Struthio camelus: one gene and its partner. The protein of the gene in region 2 purifies or fractionates together with the protein of the main gene of each other region. This does not show direct contact. Links are inferred from orthologs where the notes say so. Each region holds a gene or a part of one and is shown on either strand. Other genes may lie near its edges.

The links.
Region 1: the proteins of RELB (region 2) and NFKBIE purify together in Homo sapiens (affinity purification with mass spectrometry; 3 studies listed by BioGRID and IntAct, counting the BioPlex papers as one, with this or other methods). This does not show direct contact. The link is inferred for Struthio camelus from reciprocal best matches to the Homo sapiens genes RELB and NFKBIE.

Annotation. Positions count from the first base shown.
Region 1 is NC_090944.1:104,510,039-104,521,010, forward strand, and holds the start of NFKBIE (NF-kappa-B inhibitor epsilon), read right to left. Parts: upstream 5,249-10,972; 5' UTR 5,124-5,248; coding exon 4,771-5,123; intron 1-4,770. UniProt on the Homo sapiens protein: Sequesters NF-kappa-B transcription factor complexes in the cytoplasm, thereby inhibiting their activity. Sequestered complexes include NFKB1-RELA (p50-p65) and NFKB1-REL (p50-c-Rel) complexes.
Region 2 is NC_090957.1:1,341,639-1,352,906, forward strand, and holds the start of RELB (transcription factor RelB), read right to left. Parts: upstream 4,892-11,268; 5' UTR 4,817-4,891; coding exon 4,801-4,816; intron 3,802-4,800; coding exon 3,748-3,801; intron 3,580-3,747; coding exon 3,571-3,579; intron 3,085-3,570; coding exon 2,594-3,084; intron 1,996-2,593; coding exon 1,838-1,995; intron 1,329-1,837; coding exon 1,237-1,328; intron 1,149-1,236; coding exon 1,017-1,148; intron 564-1,016; coding exon 459-563; intron 1-458. Other genes in the region: putative lipid scramblase CLPTM1, read left to right, coding at 5,848-5,916, 6,009-6,127.

The DNA of each region.
Region 1 (10,972 bases), on a different chromosome or scaffold from region 2:
TGCCTATTAATCAAAGGCAAAGCGGAGAGACTCAGCCTGTGAGAATGCAGGCCGTTAGGCATGGAAAGGCCCTATGAGACCATCCAGTTCCACTGCAGGATGCCAGTCCCCAGTTCCCATTAACTATGGCCATCCCACTGCTGGGCAGCCAGCAACAAGCCAGCATAGCTCAGCAGAGGGACTCCCAGCCCTACTAGAAACAAGGAGGTATGCTCTCTGCGCTGGACTTCTTTAATCCTTCCCCTAAAACTGTGTCCCTCCAGTCCTCTGCTCTTTTCTTTGACAGTAGTTTCTCTTCTCTGCTCTCACAAGTTGAGTCTTCCCCCAAGCCTGCAACCCCTGCTGCAAGCGTGCACGCTGGGATCCAGATGGTTCAGAGCATTCAGCAACACCTGTATTCAGCAGAGCAGCCCCTGAGCAAGCAGGAACACAGGAGCAGACAGTCTGAATGGGGCTCTGATCTCTAGAGCAGGGCCACACGAGATGGGACAGTTAAGGCTGGCACATGCTGGTCAGTTGTTAAAAGGGGCTCTTGGCCCTACAAGATGAGGCTTGATACTTGATAGCTGCCCAAGTAGGCAAGGGCTCAGTGGGAAAGATCCCCTTCACTACCACAGCTGCCACGTACCATCACTTGGAGGAAAGCCCAGAACACCAGCTCTTGCGGGGACCCAAATTTACTTAATTAACTCTCCCCGAACCCTTGTTAATGCATTTCAGCACACAAGTCACCAGCACGTGATTTCTTATCAGCAGACACGGCAGCACTTGTCTCTAGTGGAAGGAGGAAGTCAGGCTTCCTCTGCCACCCTCCTTCTCTGAGACACTACCCACCCCCTACACACACGCGCCTGACCAAAACTGCTCTGTCCCATTTTCCATCTGAAGGACGATGAGATCTTTCTTCTCTGATTTGAGCTGGGGACCCCTGACCTTCACCTCCACAGAGAAGCCATGCTGCTTTGCCTAGAGAGCTCCGTGCAGAAAACCACCACCCTTTTGCAGAGGCATAGCACCAAGCCTTGCGCAGCACATCGCGGCCGACTGGCTCAGAGCAAGACTATGTGTGCTGACATGCCTTGTCTACACCGTGCCTAGCTGCCCGCTGCCGGGGAGCCCATCACCGTGGCATCAGGTACTGATGACAAACTGGCGCGTGGCCCAAGGACCAAGACGGCAAGAAAGGGAAACATGTTTAAGACAGAACATATAGTTCTAGAGAGAGGAAGCTCAACCTAATTTCCCACACTGATAAATCAGCTCTGTCTCTCTAGAGCTGCCAGAGGCTGCCAGAAGCCCTAGCAAACGGAGAGGTTTTCCCTAGTGTTGGAATGCAACGGACAATGCTGTCACATCCCATCCCGCCCTGCAGGAGCTGGTCCCACACCCACCCCTTTCCCAGGACACCGCAGCTCTCGTGCCTGGCGAGGCCAGCAACAAGGGGGTTTCCTCGGTGACTCCTAACAAAGGTTGAGTTTGTTTGGAGGCCAGGGCACAACCATAACAAACTGCAGCCTGCCCAGAGTTAGCCATTCCTGCAGCTGGAAAGCCCCTCTCTTCACTTCCATGCAAAGCAATCCCATTGGGATTCAATTCAGCAGAAAAGGAGCTGCTTCAAAAGGAAGAGATGGATGCTTGGAGGAGAGAGCTTGAGCTTGAGGGCAAGGGAGCAGCCTTCTGGCAGGGCTTGCTCTCTACCCTGCCATGGAATAACCAGGGTATTGCTGCCCTAAGTGCATCCGCCATCCTCTGCCTGTCGCTTCGGGTTTCCTCCCATTCCTTGACCTCTCCTGCTATTGCAGCTCTGCTGATCCTGCTCCAAGGCTGATGTGCCATTGCCCAATTACTACAGCTCTGACTTCCTCAAGGCAGGGACTACCAGTTGCGCAGGGAAAGGGTGGTTGGGTTTGAGGTTTTAGCAAATGATTATTGGAAGACGTCTGCTCAGACAGAGGTACCCACACATTTCACTGGCCATTACACCCACGTCTCCTGTGTTAGCTAATTTCCTTCCTACATAACCAGGCCCCTCTAATTTTGAAGGAGGGGACAGTCTGTTTTAGCCCCATTGCTTCACCCTGCCTCGATGAATGTACTTCTGCGGAGGTGGCAGGAAGTAATCCAAGGAAGATCCTGCTGAGACTTTAACTATCTGAGCACTTGCTTCTCCCCTCTGCAGTCACCCTGTATACTTCTGCCATACGGGCCACACTGAGAAACACACCTCAAGGGGGCGCAGGTAGGCAAGCCTGGGGAAGCTGTGCAGGTTGGAAGGGTAGGGCAGACGGGCAGCCAATACTTTCATCCGCTCCTTTTGTGCGAGTGTTGCTCCTCCGGGTACCAGCAGGGACAGCTGGGGAAACAGGAACTATTTGACTAAAGCCCTGAACTTTTTGTATTTTCAGAATTACAATGATTACAAGGAAGTGTTATCGCCCAAGTCTGCTGAAAAAATAATGATACTATGATTCTAAGTCTTGTCTTGGATCTGTCTTGTGGCAGATGTTCAAGCAAGATACACAAGATAAAGCGCAGCTGACCAAGATGAAAAGAAGTTGTCAGGTCCGCCTTGCTAGATGAAAAGGAAGCGGCCTATGGCCATCTGATCCCTTTTCTCTGGACCCCCAATCACTTGATGAGTGATTTTTCCTCAGACTTTAGCATTGCTATTAACCACAGTCTGTTTTTGCATAGAAAAGTAGTGGCAGTTCAGGGAGATGTTGGACGCTCACAGTCCTACTTGCATCGAGTGGAGCGGCAGACATTCAGCATTTCTAAATATAAATGCCACCTACCTCTCCCACAGGGTCAGGAGACAAGTCAGGAATAGAAGAGGCAGAAGTCCACAACCTCACCACTCTGACCACAAGAATATGTTCTTTTCCCAGCACTGGGAGCAGATCTCAGGAAAGCAGACTCCCTGCACTGACCTCCCTAGCCCCAAGTTGTACAAAATGCACTAAGAGCAGACTTTTCACTCCCTCCTTCGCTCTTTACCGATTTCCTGTTCTAAACTGTGCTGGGCATGAAAGAAAACAGAAGAGCAACTGCAACCACTTGGAAAGCTCTCTGAAAGCCTCTCCTGCCTAGAGTAACTAAGGCAGCGCCAATTAATGTTTCCCTAGTTAATTAGACGCTTGCGTGATGTTCTGGCCAAGCAAGTCTGACAAGCAATGGGTTCAGCCACCTTGCGAGACAGACTCAAACAGGAAAAGCATCTCCAGACAGCTGCATCTACTGGGCTCACTAGAGACTGGTGAGCCTTGGCACAGCACAACATAACGGGACCGAGGGGGCTTTCCTGCAGCATTACTTCCACCGGTCTGATTAAGACCTGTGGTTCTCTCTGTGGGCACATTGGCTCTGGAGTTACAGCTGTGTAAGCTGGCGAATTTTCCCACGCGGAGGAGCTGCAAAGCCAGCAGATAGATAGGACAGCAGTAGGAAGCTATCCAAGCGCCCCACCGGGGAGCGTGGGAAGCTGCGTTTAGTCTAACTTTGCTTGCTGTGAGGCTTCCAACCAATCTTCCGAGCGGATCCCACAGTGAACATTAATGAACTAATTAGCAGATGTACAGGTTCCTCGCTAACCAGGAAGTAAACACTTGGGCTTGCTCCCATCTCATCTTCAGCCTCAGAGACAAATGTGCTCTGAGGTGAGGACAGAGTCTCCTCGCAGCTCCTGTTTAAGCCTACTGCGTGGACACTACTAATTCATCTGTCTTGCTGGTGTTAGTGCCTCTTAGTTTCTCTTCCTCTTGCACCATTACTCAGTATTCAACTCTGGCCTGGGTTTGGGTCAAAGCTTTGCGTTTCTCAGCTGCAAGCGCGCTTCACTCATACTCTGCCCTCATTTATGATGAAAATCTTCCGTTGAGGGAACATACAACAGGAAAGAGACATGATTAGCTGAATGCAGTTACCAGAAGCCAACCCAGATACCTCCAATATGATGTCTCTGCCCTCAAGAGGGCATTACGAACGTGGGAAGCCCCCCTCATCAACAGAAACAGGTTCTCTCCATCACAGAGACTCAGAAGGGCTTCCCCTCGGCAGAGCGTGGGCCACAAATTTGCAGAGAGCTGTCCCTCAGCTGGTGGGTAGGCAAAGCAAGATGATTTTGACCAGAGAACAAGTAGTTCACAGGTTGCTCAGCTGAGCAGCATCTGTGGGAGGCCCACCAGGTCTTGCCCTGCATAGCTGATCTTGTTTTGGGTCTTGCTCACATGCCGTCTCATACAGAGAAGCCAGGTCCATTGGTGATGAAGTTTTGCATCCTCCAGGGAAGGGGGGGCAGGGTGATTTGCTCTCACACCACCATCCAGCTGCTAGTGGCCCCATAGCAAGTGGAAATTGGTTTCCTGCAGTGGGTCCATTCTGTGCCATGCTCAGAGGAGCAGGGTTGCCTATCCCTGCTTGCCCTGCCAGACCTGCCTTGGATCACTTGTTGGTTACCCACCCAAATCTACGTCATGGAGCCAAGCATCTGTGCGTGAGCTGCAACTGGAGGCTCTAGGACAGGGGATCAGGGAGTCTTCCACAAACTGACCGGCTGGCTGTTCCTCGGGAGAAACTAGCGGCTGGGGGCCACTACAGATAAAGACCTCCTTATCTCTGCGGCACCGGCTCCCAGCTAGCAGCCGAGGGGGCCAAGCCCGGGCTGGCGGGGGATGGAGGGGCAGGAGAGCAGCGGTGCAGAGGCACCTGCGGGGGCAGAGCGCGGCTCCCCGCGGCAGGGAGGGCAGGGCAGGGTGCCCGGGGCTCACTCACGTGTCTCCGTCCTCCGAAATGTAGGTGAGCGCCTCCAGCTGCTGCTGGCTGAGCCCCTCCGGCGACGGCGACGGCGGCTCCGGCTCGGCGTGGCAGACGGCCGGCAGCCCGGGCAGCGGCTCGGGGAGGGCGCCGGAGCCGTAGCTGGAGTCCAGGCGCTCCTCGGTGGCGGCGGCCGGGGTCTCGGCGGCGGCGGCCGGGGTCTCGGCGGCGGCCGGGGTCTCGGCGGCGCCAGCGCCCTCCCGCCCGCCCGGCAGCGAGCGCAGCGACTCGATGCCCGAGTCGCACTGCCCCTCCTCGCCCTCCCAGCCCGCCGCCTCCTTGCGGCACTCGCCGCCCGCTGCCCGCGACATCCCGCAGCGCTTCAGCACCCGCCGCCGCCCCCCAGCCCTAGCCCTAGCCCTAGCCCCAGCCCCGGCGCCGGGGGGCTCATGGCCGGAAAGCCGGCGGGCCGCGGCCGGCGCAGAGGCTAAGGCGCCGCGGCTCCTCCTCCTCCTGCCCGCACTGACTCAGCCGCGCCCGGCCCCGCCTGCCCGGGATTCCCCCCGCCGCCGGGCAGCGGCTCCGCGCCCGGCCTCGCGCCGCCTCCCCGCAGCGCGGCCCCGCGCCCGGCCTCGCGCCGCCTCCCCGCAGCGCGGCCCCGCGCCCGGCCTCGCGCCGCCTCCCCGCAGCGCGGCCCCGGCCCCGGCCCCGGCCCTGGCCTCGCGGCTCGCCCCTGGCCCGCCCGCGGGGCCCGACGCCGGGCTTTGGCACCGCGCGTGGATACAACACCCCGGGTCGCCCGCCCTGCTCCCACGAGCCGTCCCCTGAACGGAGGGCTGTTTTCCTGCGTTCCCCGAGGGGTTCAGGAGCGAGGGAGGAAGCAAAGCCACAGGTGGGCACGCGTGTGCGTGCAAGGGCCAGGCAGCCTGGGGTGCGCAGGGGACGTTGCGTACACAGGACAGCATGTGCTGATGTGTCCTGGACCTGCCTCCTCCCTTGGTGTATTTGTTTTGGTTCTTTAAATAACTGGCAGGTTTGCCCGAGGTGGGAGAGGGACCTTGTCGAACCAGGTTGTGTGGGTGAGGATGCTGTTACATGCACAAGTGCTGACTACAGCCTCAGGCTTTGTGGGAAACGATATGGTAGATGTCACTTACTGGTAGTGGAGATAGGTGTGAACGAGAGGTATGCTTTTCCCATGTGCATGGTTTAACTCATCTCACCCACTGAGACACCGTCTTGCCTATTCTGCCTGTACAGGTGAAGGGAAAAGCCAGGATACAAGTCACTCTGTCCTGAGCTGCTTCACACCATACTTCTGCGTTACTAATAGCAAGCCTAAAGCACAGAGTGGGTGCAAGGGCTCACACAAGGCATCCAGTACATGAAGATCAAAGCAGAATATAAAAGCTAAAAACAAAGGCACAGATCTTTGCCTGAGAACTATTGAGCCAGCTGCATTTCAGTGCTCTGCTTCCCAAGATCAAAGCTACCCAGCTTATGGACCTGCGTAGCCTTTATCTAGCTACTTTCTAACGTCCCAAGAAATGAGTTTTCCTCAGAAAAGAATCTAGATAGCTCTGAATGCTGATGTGACTTCTTTAAAATCAGTTTCACTTGTTACTTCTGCTGCTTGAAGTTCACCTCCCTCTCTGCAAGGTGGCCAGCTTTCCTGTAGGAGAGGAAGGATCTGTCCGTGCCACACACCTGCAGAGGAGCTCACCTGGGAAGAGCTTGGTGGTGGATGCAGGGACAAAGCTCACACAAACCACATGCAAAGCACAAATGACTTCCCCCTCCTATGTTGCAGCTGCCACTTCAGGTTTGCGTCACTCTCCTAGCACTGCCCAGCCAGGCCTTAAACCACAGCCTTGCTGCATGCAAGCTAATCAAGAAAAGCACCTCCACACAGGCAGAAGGAGATGTTTGGGGGCATAAGGGCAGAGGGAGCACAGCCGGAGGCAGGCAGAGGAAGTCTCTGTGGGCATCAGTAACTTCCAGTCACACGTTTTCCTACTCTCAGGACCTGCTTCAATTTCTCCTTGTGTTTCTGGCACTGCCTGGATGGAGGACTGCACGCGCTATGGGAAAGGAGGTTCTCCCTGTGCCTCATCCCCTCTGTTCAATGCAGAGCAATTATCCCCGTTATATAGCCATGCATACCCTCACTCCTTGGCAGCGGCTGCCTCCCGGCTTAGGGTGCAGGATGCATCTGCAGCTGACGTTCCTGATCCCCTTGCATGCAAGGCTGATAACCTGTAGGGCCCAACACTGGGCAGAATCTTACTGGGACTGTCTTGGATCTTGGGTGTTCACTAATTGTTACCATCACAGTTGATCCCAATTGCAGCACAGAAACTGTGGAGTTAGACAGTCATCTCAGTGTCTGTAAGCCGTATGCCAAACCTTTACTTCTGCTCCAGTGCAGGCTGCTATCAGATCCACAGAGTAAAGCCCAAAGGTTACCCCTTTCTTCCTACTCACCCAGAATTTCTACTTCCAGCTTTATGAACCCAGCTGCTATTGGAGTACCATAAAATACCTTCCCACGTACCTCTGCCATTTTCTCTAGTACCCTATTGAAGCCCCATCACAGACTGATTTCTTAAAGTCTTTTGCAAGGATGAAATCAGGTATTTGGTGAAATCCACATTGGTGAGATCAGTACTTTCCAAATGTCCTGCAGAGTGGTGACTGCTGCTACAGAACAGGAATGTGATCTCCCCAATGGACAGGTATCCTCCCTTTATATACCAAAGCATCCCTGCCTTGCCCTATCAGTAACCAGGAACCTGTGTACTGATCCACAAAGGATTCATTTTTCTGTGAACTACTTGCTGCTTGGCTTTGCCCCAGTGACAGTCGCCCCTCAGTTATCTCGTGATGCCCTGTCCCAGTTGTGGCATAGGTGTGGAGACTGCTTCCACTGCTTCCACTGCTTTAGGGCTACCAAGATGATTAGAGGGCTGGAGCATCTCTCCTATGAAGAAAGACTGCAAGAGCTGGGCCTGTTCAGCCTGGAGAAGAGAAGATTGAGAGGGGATCTCATCAACGTGTACAAGTATCTGAAGGGGGAGTGTCAAGAGGATGAGGCCAGCCTCTTCTCCGTGGTGCCCAGCAACAGGACAAGAGGCAATGGGCAGAAACTGAACCACAGGAAGTTCCATCTGAATCTGAGAAAAAACTTCTTCACTGTGAGGGTGACAGAGCATTGGAACAGGTTGCCCAGAGAGGTGGTGGAGTCTCCTTCGCTGGAGATATTCAAAAGCCGTCTGGACGTGATCCTGGGCAATATGCTCTAGGTGACCCTGCTTGAGCAGGGAGGTTGGACTAGATGATCTCCAGAGGTCCCTTCCAACCTAAACGATTCTGTGATTCTGTGATTCCAGGGCTAGCACAGGTTGAGGGGCAATTCAGCCAAAGCACAGAGCCTGAGCTAATAAGCCCTGGAGAGCTGAGCCAGCTCTGCGGAGATGCAGCTCAAGGCCCTTGACCCTGGGGTCCTCGTACAAAAAAACTGCTATGTTTCCTGTGCAGTTAAGATAGATCCATCATATGTTCATTCACGTGGACTTGGTACACCTCCTGCCAGTTGCAGGCTGGCTTTATGAAGCATCACTCCGTCACCTTCCCATGCTACAGGTTCTGGCAGGGCTTCTCAGCCTCAGCACAGTGCAAGGGAAATGTACGCAGTCAGCTCATCTCACCTGGGAAGTGGAAACGCTGGAAGCTGCGGTATGCAGACACCACTTGTGACTCCACAGTCCAGTCCACAGCAAACTGTACTACGTTATCTGTCTACAAAACTGCCCCTGAAAGTGACCTTCCTCTGCTGCTGATGTGAACTTAGCTGGAGCTAGTGATGTCACGGCCTCCCTAACGTGAGCCTTGAACTTTCTAGAGCAGGCTAGTGCTCTCCCAGGCCTGTCTTGCAGTGGTCTACTGTGGTGGTGTGTGCTGAACAGCAGAGACCAGATATTTCCCTATAAAAGCCAGCTATACAACCCAGGCATCCAGGTCCAACCACTCTGTGCTCTGGCCTTCTCACTACCTCCACTAATACCCAGCTCAGTCACCAGCTTCTTGCCACCTCTCTTCCAGGTGCATGTGCTTCTGCTGTCCCTTTGGATAATTTGCATGGAAAATCTCAGACATGAACTTTGCTTGTCAGTCTATCTCCTTATTTGCCTTCTGTCTTTCATTCAGCAAGGCTTCGGCTCCATTTCATGATCTCTGCCTAACAGAGAAGTTTTCTGTCTAGCCACACTGCTTTTGAATTTCCAGTCTCTTCACGGCTTTCAATCCAGACTGTGGTATATACTTTCTGGGGAGGTGGTGGTGGCAGGAGTAAGCACATTTAAATACAATATGTGGCTAGTCTTCATGCTCTGATTTGCTTTTGAGGATTTAAAAAATGAAGCCCTAATTCTACCCTCTCTCCAGTTCTCTTTAAAATGTATCACTTAGAATGGTTAAAATTGCAGGGATAAATAGAGAAAGGAATCTATTCCCACTAGAGGTCAGCGTCAACACACGCCACTCAAAACTACCTGCCTAAAATAACCTCTCCAACAGACACCAACAAGAAATCCAGCTCAGAAAGGCGCTCCCACCACACTGCACTTCCAGGAGCTTGGGGACAGTGTTTGTCCGTGGAAAGGACTCCCCAGGTGATCTGCAAATGCCGGTACTGTCCCTGATAATGTGCTGCCCTGAAGTACGGCCCTTTAATTTCCTAAGCGAAACTCAGATCTCTGCACTTGACTTCTTGAACCCAAGCTCTGCCTACTTCAATGGCAGCTTGAGCCTGGTGCCTTCCTCTTTTCCACTGTTCCTCAAGCTGTTAACTGGGTGAGATAATGAGATGAGTCTGGGACACTTGCAGAAGGGGAGATTATGCACAGTCTGTGTCTGGTCTGAGGAACAGCAGAGGTACCTTAACTCCCAGCTGTGTTCCCCCACCATGTTTAAGCAGTGTCTGTACCTGAAATCATTATAAACAGTTATTGCAATAGTAATTCAGGTGATATGACCAGAGTTAGATGGTATGTATTTGAATTTGAACAGATGGAACATTTGGGATCGTTGCAGGGTTCGATCAGGGGTTACTTCAGTAACCATCAGTATTTTAATAACCATAAAACAAACTCACAGCATCTACACTACAAATGTCACCACCAACAGTGCAGCTCTCTGGAGTCCAGCAGGCCCCCCCCTCCCCCCAGGGATGACAAGGCAAGTTCAAACTGTTTTTTGGCTGGTTCTGGCTGTTTTCTCATTCATCATTGAGGTTAGGCTAAGATCATCTTATATGATCAACTATTAATCTAAGATTCAGGTGCTCTTTCCTATGACACTTTAACAACTTCTTTTTGGCCCTCCACAGCTCTATCCTGATGTTAGGGAAGATTCTTCAACGTGAGACATTTTGGCCTTTGTGAATGAGGGATCAGTCTGCTTCCACTTCTTTTTACGTCTCACTTCCTCACAGGATTGGCCCAGGACTGCGTGGTTTACTGAATAAGGCAGGGCTCCAAATGCTGTCTCCTTGGGGTACCAGAAAAGCACTGTGACAGCTGCTGAGCCTCTTTCAGAGCGCAAAACTTGCTTGACCTAACTGCAGCGATGCTACTGCTGCCTCTGTTACCTCAGCACCCATGTGGATTTTCCCCCATGCAAAATGTCCACCACACAGCTTTAGACCTACTCCACAACAGGGCTGCCCTGTTCCCTAGGGATGCAGCCCTGTCTCCCCTGTCTCCATCAGCAGGGTTCCTGAGTCCATCAGGAAGATGCCAGGGCTCAGTCCGGGGAAGCTCCAACCAAGCTTTCAACACCAGGGATGTCTTTGGGTACCGCAAGCAGCAACCTAGACCTCTACCTCAATTCCAGCTCCAGCTCAGCCCCTGAACAAACTACATGTGCCACTCCACTACTTGGAGTAGAGGCCCCAAGAGCACAAGGAAAGCCACAGGAAAAATGACAGGGTTTCTCGTTGGCTTGCTCTTCTGCATATCTCATAGCAAATCAACTCTGAGCTATACTATGCTGGGTATATACTGGTCTAACTTTCTGGTCTAACAGAGTAAAATAGGAACATGTTTATCGAAAGATTCAATGCCTGGAGGCAAGGCCAAGTTTTCTAACAAACCAGGGTAAATGGGGTTCCCTTCAGGTACCAATATTTTTGGAAATGAGCCCAGCTGCCCTCTTGTGGTAA
Region 2 (11,268 bases):
TCAGGGAGGCAACAGGAGCCCTTGCAGCACCCAAGGTCACCCTCTCCAGCCCCCAGCGGTTCCTACCCCCCTCCAGCACCCTGAGGTCCCATCCCCTGCACCTGCAAGGCAGCAGGACCCCCGGGCCCCTCGCCAGCACCCAGGATCCCTCCCCTATCATTAGCCGGGGTCCTCTCATCTACACTCCTGTAGCACCCCAGGGTCCTTTCCCCTGCAGGATGACTAGGGGGCAGCCAGACTCCCCCATGATCCCTCCCCTCCGACACCCAGGCTGTTCAGAAGCACTTGGGGGTGATCACAGCTCGCATCTCCAGACTCCTTTTGGACCCATCCCCAAACCCCTCAAGCGCACCAGCCCCCTCCAGCCTCTGTCACCTTCCTTCACCCCCACTCTCACTTCCTGGGGTGGTAGATTGGCGCCCCCAGGGTCACAAGGCTCCCAAAGCGCCCGCTGGTACCTTTCTGGACTTTGTCGCAAAGCAGGTAGAGCTCCTCGCCACCCGTGCACGGCCCGCTCTCCTTGTTCATCCGGCAGATCCTCAGCTCCGAGGTGTTGGTGGATTCTGGGGGCACCAGAGCACAGCTCAGGGGTGCTCAGGTGCCGTGCATGGACAGGGGTCCACAGCTGCCCTGCGGGGTCCTGTGGTGCAGCAACAGCAATGTGGCTCCAAAATCACCCAGCCCTGGGGCCAGGCTTGGGCAGCAAGACCAGGCTCAGGGTACAGGGACTCTCATTAGCATCATCTCTTCCCAAGCACCCCTAGCACTAGGTACCAACCCTGCAGAACACGGGTGACCAGATCCCCTGTGTGTGGGGGACCAGCTTCCCCTCAGGACACCACCAGTCACAGGGGACCATCTCCGACCAAACCTCGCAGCCCCGGCCCTGGCAAGGAACCGGCTGGTGCAATCTCATGGGCCACCCTGCCCCATGGCCACCCGCTGAAGCCAGGGAGGTACCAGGGGCCTGGCTGAGCCCCCCGCCAGTGACCCAAAGCCTCTCTTCCTCCACATACTCTTGTCAAAGATGGGCTCCGAGAGCACAGGGCTGAGGTGCTGCATCTGCCCAGCGCTGTCCTGGTAGGAGGCCTGGAAGCAGATCCTCACCACGTTCATGTCTACCTCCTGGTGGTTCTTGAGGGACCCAGCTGGGGCAGAGAAGAAGGCAAAAATCAGCTGCTGCCCAGGAGCGGGGGTCCCAGGCCCCCAAGAAATGCTTCTGCTCAAGCCACTCACCTTTGAAGGGGTCGATGCCCAGCTGCAGCTTCTTCTCTATCGCCATCTCGATCTCCTTTTTTTTCACACACTGGATACCAAGGTTGCTAAAGCTGCCGGGGGAGCAGAGGCGTGCTGGAGAGGCAGCTCCCCCCTGCAGAACCTGAGGGCACCCAGGCACCTTGCTCCTCTCAGCTTTGTCTCAGGGGGCTGGGCAGTTCCCCAGCGTGTCCGTTCCCAGAAGACAAGGCCCTGCACGGACCACCGTGGCTCCATCATCTCCAAAACAGGCATCGCTTGCACCCAGGGACGGCAGTTAAACGACCACCGAGGAACACATCGGTGCCTGGGCGCCCCCAAAGCCACGGGCAGACAACAGGGCACAGCTCGACCTCCAGTACGCTCCAACCTCCAGGCATCCCACCCCCCTGCTCCACCTCCGAGACCCCACGTCCCTCCTAGGGAATGCAGACAACTAGTCGTCACCAGCTTCAGCACAGCACCTCTGCGAATTGACGCCAGGGTCCTGGGGTGGGTGGGGGATATCTCTGCTCCCCGCACCAGCCTGGCACAGCTCCCTGCAGGCCACAGGACTCATCCCAGTGTCACAGCGCAGCCGTACCTGTGCTTGGGGTTGGTCTGGGGTTTGAGGACGACCTCGCAGAGCCCGTTGCTGCAGTCCTTGCCCACGAGGCCATGGGGGTGGACGCGGTAGGGCCAGTCCTTCCACACCAGGCATGCCGTCACCTTCACCTCAGGGATCGCGTGGCAGTTCAGCAGCTGGTGGGACACGAGCTGTGGGCGCTGCACCGGCTAAACCGACGCGGGGGGGGGGGGGGCACCAGGAATACGGGCATCCCAGCATCCGTGGGGCTCCGGCACCTTCTGCGATCTCAGCACCACCCCCAGCACCCATGGGGCTCCAGCTCCGTGATAATCACAAGGCTTCAGCACCCCTGCGGGGGGCTCTAGCACCCTCCCCAGCACCCAACTACCCCAGGGAGACATGAGCTGTCAGCACATCCCTGCTACTCTGACACAGGAGACCCTCTGAGCAGGGACGGGCACCCAGAGACATGGAGGGGCACTAAGCACCTAAGGGACTCCAGCAGCCCTCTGGCACCCATGGGGCTCTGAGTCCCTGGCAGCCATGGGGCAATAGCATCAGTGGAGCTTCAGCACCTCCCCAGCACCCACCTGGCTCTGGCACTGATGGGGATTCCACACCCCATGGCACCCACAGGGCTTCAACGCTCCCCCAGCACCCATGAGGCTCCAGACATCCCAGGACTCTGGCCCCCAGCACCCGTAGGACCTCACGGTCCCCACCTCCGAGCAAGCAGGGAGCCACGCGCCCCAGGCTGCCTCCGAAGCTCACCTCAATAGCCGGCAGGGTCTTACTGGCATCAGTGCTGCTCTCGCCCAGGATGCTGCCGGCCGAGCGGCCCTCGCACTCGTAGCGGAAACGCATGCCCCGCTGCTTGGGCTGCTCCGTGATCACCAGCTTGGGCGGCTCCAGCAGCTCCTCCAGCTGGTCCTTGCCCAGAGACCAGCGGTGCCGCCCGCCGGGGCCCGCCGTGCCCCGCGGCACCAGCTTGGGCGACAGCGAGAGGGTGCTGAGGTTCTGGGCGAGCTGCGGCGAACGCGTGTCGGCGGGCAGCAGCGGGGCCCCAGGGCCGTGCGGGGTCCCATAGGGTGCCAGCCCGGCCGTCGCCGGGCAGGGCTCAACGGGGCGCAGCGGCCGGGTGGCCACCGTCGGGCTGGAGCCACGGGCCACCAGCTTGGCCGAGCTTTTGGACAACAGCTTGGGCAAGGCGGGGGCCGGATCTGGCTGGAAACCGTCCTCCTTGATGAGCTCCTCAATGATCTCTGAGGGACGAGGAGGGAATAACGTGCCCGAGCCCGCCACAAATCCCTCAATACCCAGCCCCGACAACTCCCATCCGCCACATGATGGACGGACTGGCCAGATCCTGCCCCGTTGCCACCCACAAACATCTCCTCCGCCACGCTTGGGACAGAGCGGCCACAGCTAGGGGACAAGATGCCCCAACCCTCCTGCCCGTCGCATCCCCGTGGGTGTTACTCAGTCTTTTCCCCTCGATCCCCTCGATCCTTGACGCTCCGGGACGGCGGCCGCGGGGGCAGCTCGCTCGACCGGACACAGCTCTGCACCCTGAACTCCTGCTCGTGGTGCCCCGGAAAAGGATGGATCCAGCTGCTTCAGGTGCACGCAGGGACCCCCTTGTCGGAGATCTCCGGTTTTACCACCCGAAGCTCCGAGATGCTGCTCTGGCCGAGGTCCTGCCAACACACGGGGCTGCGCCTACCGACCCCCCTCCACGGTCCACTCACCTAAATCGTCTGCAAAAAGGAAGGGGAAAAAAAGAAAAAGAAAAAATTGAGGCTTCCTCCCGCACCCCCCTGCCCCAACTCGCACCCAAGGAGGCACGGCTCTCCCCCGCCAAGCCCGGACGCCTGGGCCCCGCCACCCCGAGCACCACAGGGAGGGGGAATGGGGGGGGTTCTTACCAGCCACAGGTGCGGCGTGCGCCATGGCCAAGCTGGGATCCTGGAGGGCAGCTCCTGCGGGGACACCGGCGCTGTCACCCCAGGGTGCACCCTCTCAGCCCCACCTAACGGCACAGGGGACCTCGGCCTCCTGCCAGCCAAGGGCAGGGACTTGGGGAGGGGCACCTCTGGGATCAGGACCCCCCCCCCCGACAGGACCAGGGGGGTCTCAAGGGTGACAGCTCCCCCCAGGGTGGGGAATGGGGGTACCCCCAAAAAAACCCCAGTGCAGGCATTGGGGGGGGTCCCCAGAACTGTGCCCCCCAGTAAGGATTTATTCCCCCCAAAACCTCCCATGACAGGGATTTGGGGTGGAAGGGATCCCAATATCGTGTCCCCCCCCCCAGCAAGGAGGGATCTGTTTCCCCCCCCCCAAGAGCAGGGATCAGGGGTTCCCCAGGACTGTGCCCCCCACTAAGTGCTCTGCCCTCCCCCTCAAATCTCCCAGGACATGGACTGGGGGGTCCCCAAGATCATGTCTCCCCTCCCATTATGGATCTGCCTCCCCCAAGCCCAGCAATCAGGAAGTCCCCAGGACTGTGCCCCTCCCCGAGCACTCTGCACCCCCCCAAATCTCCCACAACAGAGACTGGGGGGGGGGGAACGTCACCCCCCTCCAACAGGGATTTGCTCCCCCCAAAATCTCTCCAGACAGGAACTTCGGGGGGGGGGGGGAGGTCCCAGGATCACATCCTCCCCCAGCAAGCACCCGAATCCCCCCCCCCATCACAAGGACCGGGGGGGGGGGTCCCCAGAACCCTGCCCCCCCCGCCAAACCCCTAGTACAGGCACCGGGAGAAGGGGGGGGGCCGAGATCACACCCCACCCCACCGCCAGCAGGGACCTGCCTCCCCCCAAAACGGGGACCGGGGAGGGTCCCCCAGGACCGTACCCCCCCCCTCCTCCAACAAAAGGCAACCGACCCCCCCCCTCCCCCAACCCGGCCAGGCCCCGGGCCCGCCCCCAGCAGCGGGCCCTGCCCCCCGCGGCAGGCAGCGGGGGCCCCGCGCTCACCGAGCGGCAAGGCCATATCCCGCCGGTAGTGGTGGTGGTGCCGCCCCCGCCGCCGCCGCCGCCGCCGCCCCCCCGGCCGCCGCCGCCGTCGCCGCCGCCGCCGCCGCCGCAGGCCGAGGCCGCGCGGCCGCCGGAGCTGGAAATCCCCGCGCGGGCGGCGCCGCCATTGGCTGCCCCCGCTGAGGTCATCGCCGCGGGGCGGGCCGGGAAACCCCGCGCGGGCGGCGCCGCCATTGGCTGCGCCCGCTGAGGTCATCGCCGCGGGGCGGGCCGGGAAACCCCGCGCGGGCGGCGCCTCCACCGGCAGCGGAGCGGGTCGGGCCTGGCCACGGGGGCAGCGGGAGCCCTGCCCGGGCCTGGCAGCATATGGGGGCACCGGCCCAGGCCGCCGGGAGCCATCCCGGTTACCTCCCGGTTACCCCCGGGAGCTCCCCGGTCACCCCCCTGCAGACCCCTGCCCGGGCCCTCGGCAGCCTCCCGGTTACCTCCCGGTTACCCCTTCTAGGGCCCCCGGGAGCCTCCCGGTCACCCCCCTGCAGACCCCTGCCCGGGCCCCCCGGCAGCCTCTCGGTGACCGTCTGCGGGACCCCTACCGGGATCCCCTGGCAGCCTCCCGGCAGCCTCCCGGTTACCCCTTCTAGGGCCCCCGGGAGCCTCCCGGTCACCCCCCTGCAGACCCCTGCCCGGGCCCCCGGCAGCCTCCCGGTGACCGTCTGCGGGACCCCTACCGGGATCCCCCGGCAGCCTCCCGGGAACCTCTTCCAGCACCCTCCGAGTCACCGCCCCGAGAACCGTGCCGACTTCCCTTGGGAGCTTCCCGGTCCGGTCCGCTCACCTCCCCCCCCCCCCGCACGGGACCCCTGAGAAACTCCCGGTAACGTTACCGGCGCCCCGCCCCCAGCTCGTAGCCCCGCCCCCAGCTCGTAGCCCCGCCCCCAGCTCGTAGCCCCGCCCCGGCTCCGCCCGCCGTCACGTGACGCGGCGCCCCGCCAGCTCGCGCCCGCTCGTCCCCTCTCGCGAGAGCCGCGCGAGTAGCGGCGCAGCAAGATGGCGGCGCCGGAGACGGAGGCGGCGGCGGCGGCGGCGGCGGCGGGGCCCGGGCCGGGCCCGGAGCAGGTAGGGGCGGCCCCGGCCGGGTCGGGAGCGGCCCCGGGGGAAGCGGTGGGGCGCGTTTGACGGCCTCGTCCGCCCTCTTTGCTTCCCTTCAGCAGGTGACCAGTAACGGGAGCGCCGGTGGCGGCGGCGGCGAAGCGGCGGCGGCGGCCGAGACGCAGCGGCAGCAGCCGGCGCCCAACGCCTGGCAGGTCATCAAAGGCGTCTTGTTCCGGTGAGCCGCGGGTCCCCGCCCGCAGCCCTGGCACCACCGGCGCCCGGGCCTACCGGGGAGGGGGGGGGCAACAGGACTGGGCCCCCCCCCTCCCCCCGTCGTGCCCCGGGGGTCGGGAGCTGCCCCGCCGTGTCCTTCCCCCCGGGGTCAGCGGGCAACGGGGGTTGTGCCCGCCCCCCCCCCCCGTGGTGTGGCAGGGTGCTGGGGGTCGTGCCCTGTCCCCTCGTGTCCCCCCCCCCCCAGTGGTGTGGCAGGGTGCTGGGGGTCGTGCCCTGTCCCCTCGTGTCCCCCCCCCCCAGTGGTGTGGCAGGGTGCTGGGGGTCGTGCCCTGTCCCCTCGTGTCCCCCCCCCCCAGTGGTGTGGCAGGGTGCTGGGGGTCGTGCCCTGTCCCCTCGTGTCCCCCCCCCCCCAGTGGTGTGGCAGGGTGCTGGGGGTCGTGCCCTGTCCCCTCGTGTCCCCCCCCCCCAGTGGTGTGGCAGGGTGCTGGGGGTCGTGCCCTGTCCCCTCGTGTCCCCCCCCCCCAGTGGTGTGGCAGGGTGCTGGGGGTCGTGCCCTGTCCCCTCGTGTCCCCCCCCCCCAGTGGTGTGGCAGGGTGCTGGGGGTCGTGCCCTGTCCCCTCGTGTCCCCCCCCCCCCCCAGTGGTGTGGCAGGGTGCTGGGGGTCGTGCCCTGTCCCCTCGTGTTCCCCCCCAGTGGTGTGGCAGGGTGCTGGGGGTCGTGCCCTGTCCCCTCGTGACCCCCCCCCCCAGTGGTGTGGCAGGGTGCTGGGGGTCGTGCCCTGTCCCCTCGTGTCCCCCCCCCCCAGTGGTGTGGCAGGGTGCTGGGGGTCGTGCCCTGTCCCCTCGTGTCCCCCCCCCAGTGGTGTGGCAGGGTGCTGGGGGTCGTGCCCTGTCCCCTCGTGTCCCCCCCCCCCAGTGGTGTGGCAGGGTGCTGGGGGTCGTGCCCTGTCCCCTCGTGTCCCCCCCCCCCCAGTGGTGTGGCAGGGTGCTGGGGGTCGTGCCCTGTCCCCTCGTGTCCCCCCCCCCCCCAGTGGTGTGGCAGGGTGCTGGGGGTCGTGCCCTGTCCCCTCGTGTTCCCCCCCAGTGGTGTGGCAGGGTGCTGGGGGTCGTGCCCTGTCCCCTCGTGACCCCCCCCCCCCAGTGGTGTGGCAGGGTGCTGGGGGTCGTGCCCTGTCCCCTCGTGTCCCCCCCCCCCAGTGGTGTGGCAGGGTGCTGGGGGTCGTGCCCTGTCCCACTGTGTCCTTCCCCAGTGTGTGACGGGGCACTGGGGGTTGTGTCCCATCCCGCTGTGTCCCCTGCTCCGCTCTGCCGTTGGGTGCTGGGGTACTTCCTCATCCCGTCACGTCCTGTTGTACGTCTCTCTGGGGATCCCTGAAGGGGAAGGAGTGCATCTCCTCCTCCCTGATACCCCTAGGCTGTGGGGTCCCAGGAGAGGTGCTGCCACCCATCTCCAAAATCCCTCGGACAGCAGGGTTCCTGGTGCAGGGGCACAGCGACCTGGCCCGCTCACATCTGAGTGGACCCTGGGGTCCCTCGTAGATGAGAGGAAGGTACTGAGGATCCCTCAGGTTCCTGGGCTCATGTCAGAGAGGGAGAAAAGCCTGGTAGCTCCCCCCTCCTTTTCCCCGGACGCCAGGGTCCCTGGCAAGCTGCCTCTGATCCAAGCAGCCTTGGCAAGCCCCTGCCAGTGGGGCCTCATGACCGTGAGGGTGGCTCAGGTGTGACGTGTGACCGTCGCTGGCTGGCGAGAGCGCCCCGAGGTGCTGACGCAGGGCCCGTAACCCACGGGGCTACACGCCCGACCGGCGCAGGGCTTTGCCTGAACTCCGGGATCTTGAGCTACTTTGCAGCTTTTATAGCCTCGAGCTGTTCTTCTGTGGCTGAGATAAACGTAGAAGTTCAGAGATTGGTTCATCGCAGGCAGGAGCAGCTGCTTGAACAGGCTGAGTGTGCTTCCTGTTCTCCTCCGAGGAGGCGTCGGTGTCCTCTATGACTTGTCGAGAGGGATCCAAAGTCCAGGTTGTGGCGCAGAGCCCTTCAAATGCTCCTTTGGCTGAGCGGCGGCGCCGCCAAGCAGGCGAAAGGCCCTGCCGTCCATGTCCTAGGGGCGCTGCACTTCCCCGGGGGGTGCCGATGGTCTCGCCTGCTTCAGCTTGGTCTCTGGTGCAAAGCAGATTTCCTCAGGTGGGGAAAGAGGAGCCCGGGGTGTTTCTGGTTGTGGCCAGGTTTGTACAGCTGGAGCAGGCTGTTTTAAAACACCGCGTTGTATGCTCTTGCAGAGATCTTGGGCTGTAGGATGGCTAAGGAAAGTAAAGGAGCTGTGGTTTGGGAGTACTAAACAGGTAGTAGGGGGCAAAATGAAGCCCCAGGAGTAAAACCAGCTGTTAAAAATGCATCTGGATGGTCCCAGGGTGATGCAACAGTTCATGGGACTCATTGCCCTCACAGATTTCTAGCCTGAAGGCCCTAATGAACTTCTGCTTGGGAGAGTTTTCTGGGCTGAACTGAGCTCCCGCATGGGGCTGGAGTGGATGAGCTGCCTCGGACATGTTTGTGACTCAGTTCTCCAACACCTCGGATGCCTTTCTTCAACCCAAACTGCTGGATGGACTTTGGACTGCCTCAGGCAGGGCTTTTTTGACTGACCTCGCCTCCCTGGCAGACTGGCAGCTCCTCTTCAGGGCTCATCCGGAGCCTTGGTGAACCCGTGTGGACCCGTATGGAGAGAAAAGATCACTCAAGGATGGCAGGCTGCTGCTGAGCCACCGTAAAACCCTGCCAACCCTGTCAGCAATGCCCCAGGTAGCGCTGAGCTTTCCCACCTGACGCTGCGATGGCAGAACAGCCCACGCGTCTCGTGTGGGGTTTTGGGGCCCTCCTTTGGCCCTGTGAAGCTGCAACCCAGCCTTCCCTCCGGCTGCAGTTTGGCTTAGAGGCTGATCTCAGCAGCCCAAACCCAGCTGGCCCCATGGGGAGCGGTGGGATCTTGAGGGTGCTCGCAAGACTGTACCTCCATATTTGGCTGCACCGCTCTCTGCATCTCTCCAGTCCCGTGAAAACGAGGAACTCTGTGAGTGTAAGCAGGGACAGCCAGGGTTTGCCTTGTCCCATCTCTTCTCTCAGACTCGGGCACTGCAGGGATGCTTTTCCTAGGATGAAGGCAGATCAGGTGGCTCGGCTGCATCGCTGCCCTCACTGAAGGCTTCTCGGCAGTTCTTGCCATAGTGCCTGCCTCGTGATGCCTGCTGGGAGCCAGCGCTGCGTATTTGGACGCTTACAATCCAAATCTGTGTTCTTATCAGGAGGCAGAGTGGTTCTTCCCAGCCTTGTCCGCGTTGCGGTGAGGAATTCTGGATGCTGGAGCCGACAGACCTGCTGTGGACGTGCTCTTGGGTCTTGGACCTGCTACATCAGGGGCTGATGAAGGGGTTGAGAATCATGAAAGCTGTGACTCCTTTACACTTCCGCTCTTTCACGCGCAAAGTCTCCGTGCGTCCACCCTCGTTCAGTGCACTGCCTTCCCTTGTGCTTCTCTGAAGTGTCCTGAGAAGCTGCGCTTCTCCTGGGAGGGAAGTCGGTCTGTCTTTTTGTTTCTGTCTCACCGAGGGCAGATTTGTTCCTCTCCAAAGTGTCATTTCCCTTGGCGAATCCCTCTGAATGGCTAGAAGAGCTCTCCTGCACAGCAAGCGTGACCCTGTGGCCTGTCTGCTGGCCAGGAAAACCAGAGTCGCGTGGCCAGGAGAGAGCACTAAATCATCTCATCGCGTAGCGATCGCGGCGAACAAAGAGCTTTCGCAGCGGAGGCGCTTGAAGTCGTTCCCTGTGTTGTGGTTGAAGGGCAGAGAAGGGGCTAGGAGGCGCGAGGGAAAAAATCACGCTTGCTGGTAGGTGGAGAGCAGTCCCATCGCCTAACCCGGAGTGGGCTGCTCCGACGGGGAGTGGGTGATGTTTTGCTTTCAGTGTACGAACATCATGCCTCGTGTCTGCTCTGGTTTTTGAAACCCCTGTCTTTTGAAGAAGAAATAGGCTCCCAAACCTTCCCTGTACAACCAGTAATGCTCTAGGTTGTTCTAGAAGATAAACTCTCTATACAGTCATGTTGAGCTGGCTGCAGGCCTTGTTGTGACTGTTTGAGCGGGATACTTTGGCAGTCCCGCGTGGTACGTAGCCGGGAGGGAACAAGACAGTTAACTCTTTGGATCTATTAACCTGGGTGAGTTTGCAGGAGAGCCGGCAGTGTGGACTTGGTGCTGGGCTCTGTGCGTTTCCTCCAGGTCAGCGAGAAGTGTGCAGGGAGACTTGCTTGGTGCATCTTCTCGGCTCTGACAGCTCAGGGCTTTCTGTTTAAACCCTTGCGCTCAGACTTTCTCAAAAGCTCTGACCCAGCGCAACAAGACAGTTTTCACGAGTGAAATCCTGACTGAATTCAGCGCATCTCCAGTCTTCCACCTGAAAACTGGGCTTCCTCGTGGCATGGACATCTAGGAAAGTAACTCTAATGGATTGGAGCCCGTTTCTCTCCGTGAAGTCATTTACTCTGTGCTTCTGGCCATCGTTCAGTCTCGGAGAGGAGTTGTTTGGTTGCCGGCTATTGCTGCCAGTGCTGCCCGCTGTTTCTAGGCATGTAGTAGCTTTGTGCTTAGACCAGGAGAAGGGAGTCTGGTTTAAAATTGCTTGAGGCATGTACACAATACTCCACGAGCGTTAACTGCAAAGAAAAACGTGGCTGAAAATCTTTCCACCTTGAGACGCGCTGCCTTGTGAGCAGGGCTTTGCCAGAAAGAGTCATCCAAAATTTAAAAAAAAAGAGCATTTTTTCATATACTCAAATGTTACTGCCCGGCTTGGCTCACAGAGAGCTGCAGAGGAAGTACAGAAGGGACCTGTCCTGGTCCGTTTGCTGGAAGCAACCCAGGGAGAACCCCTGTGGGGACTGGCGTTTGGAGGGAATTACAGCTGCGGGCTCCAAGCTGGGAAATGTCACAGCTACAGCTGTAGCTTGCATGTTTTCGGGCCAGGAGGAGATGGAAGATCGTCCCTCCGCCCTCCTGCCCAGTATGGGTCCTTATTCAGCTGCCTTGCACTATGCACAGACCCCAAAGTCTGTACTCCAGAAGACAGGCAGCAAATTTACTGTCTCCCT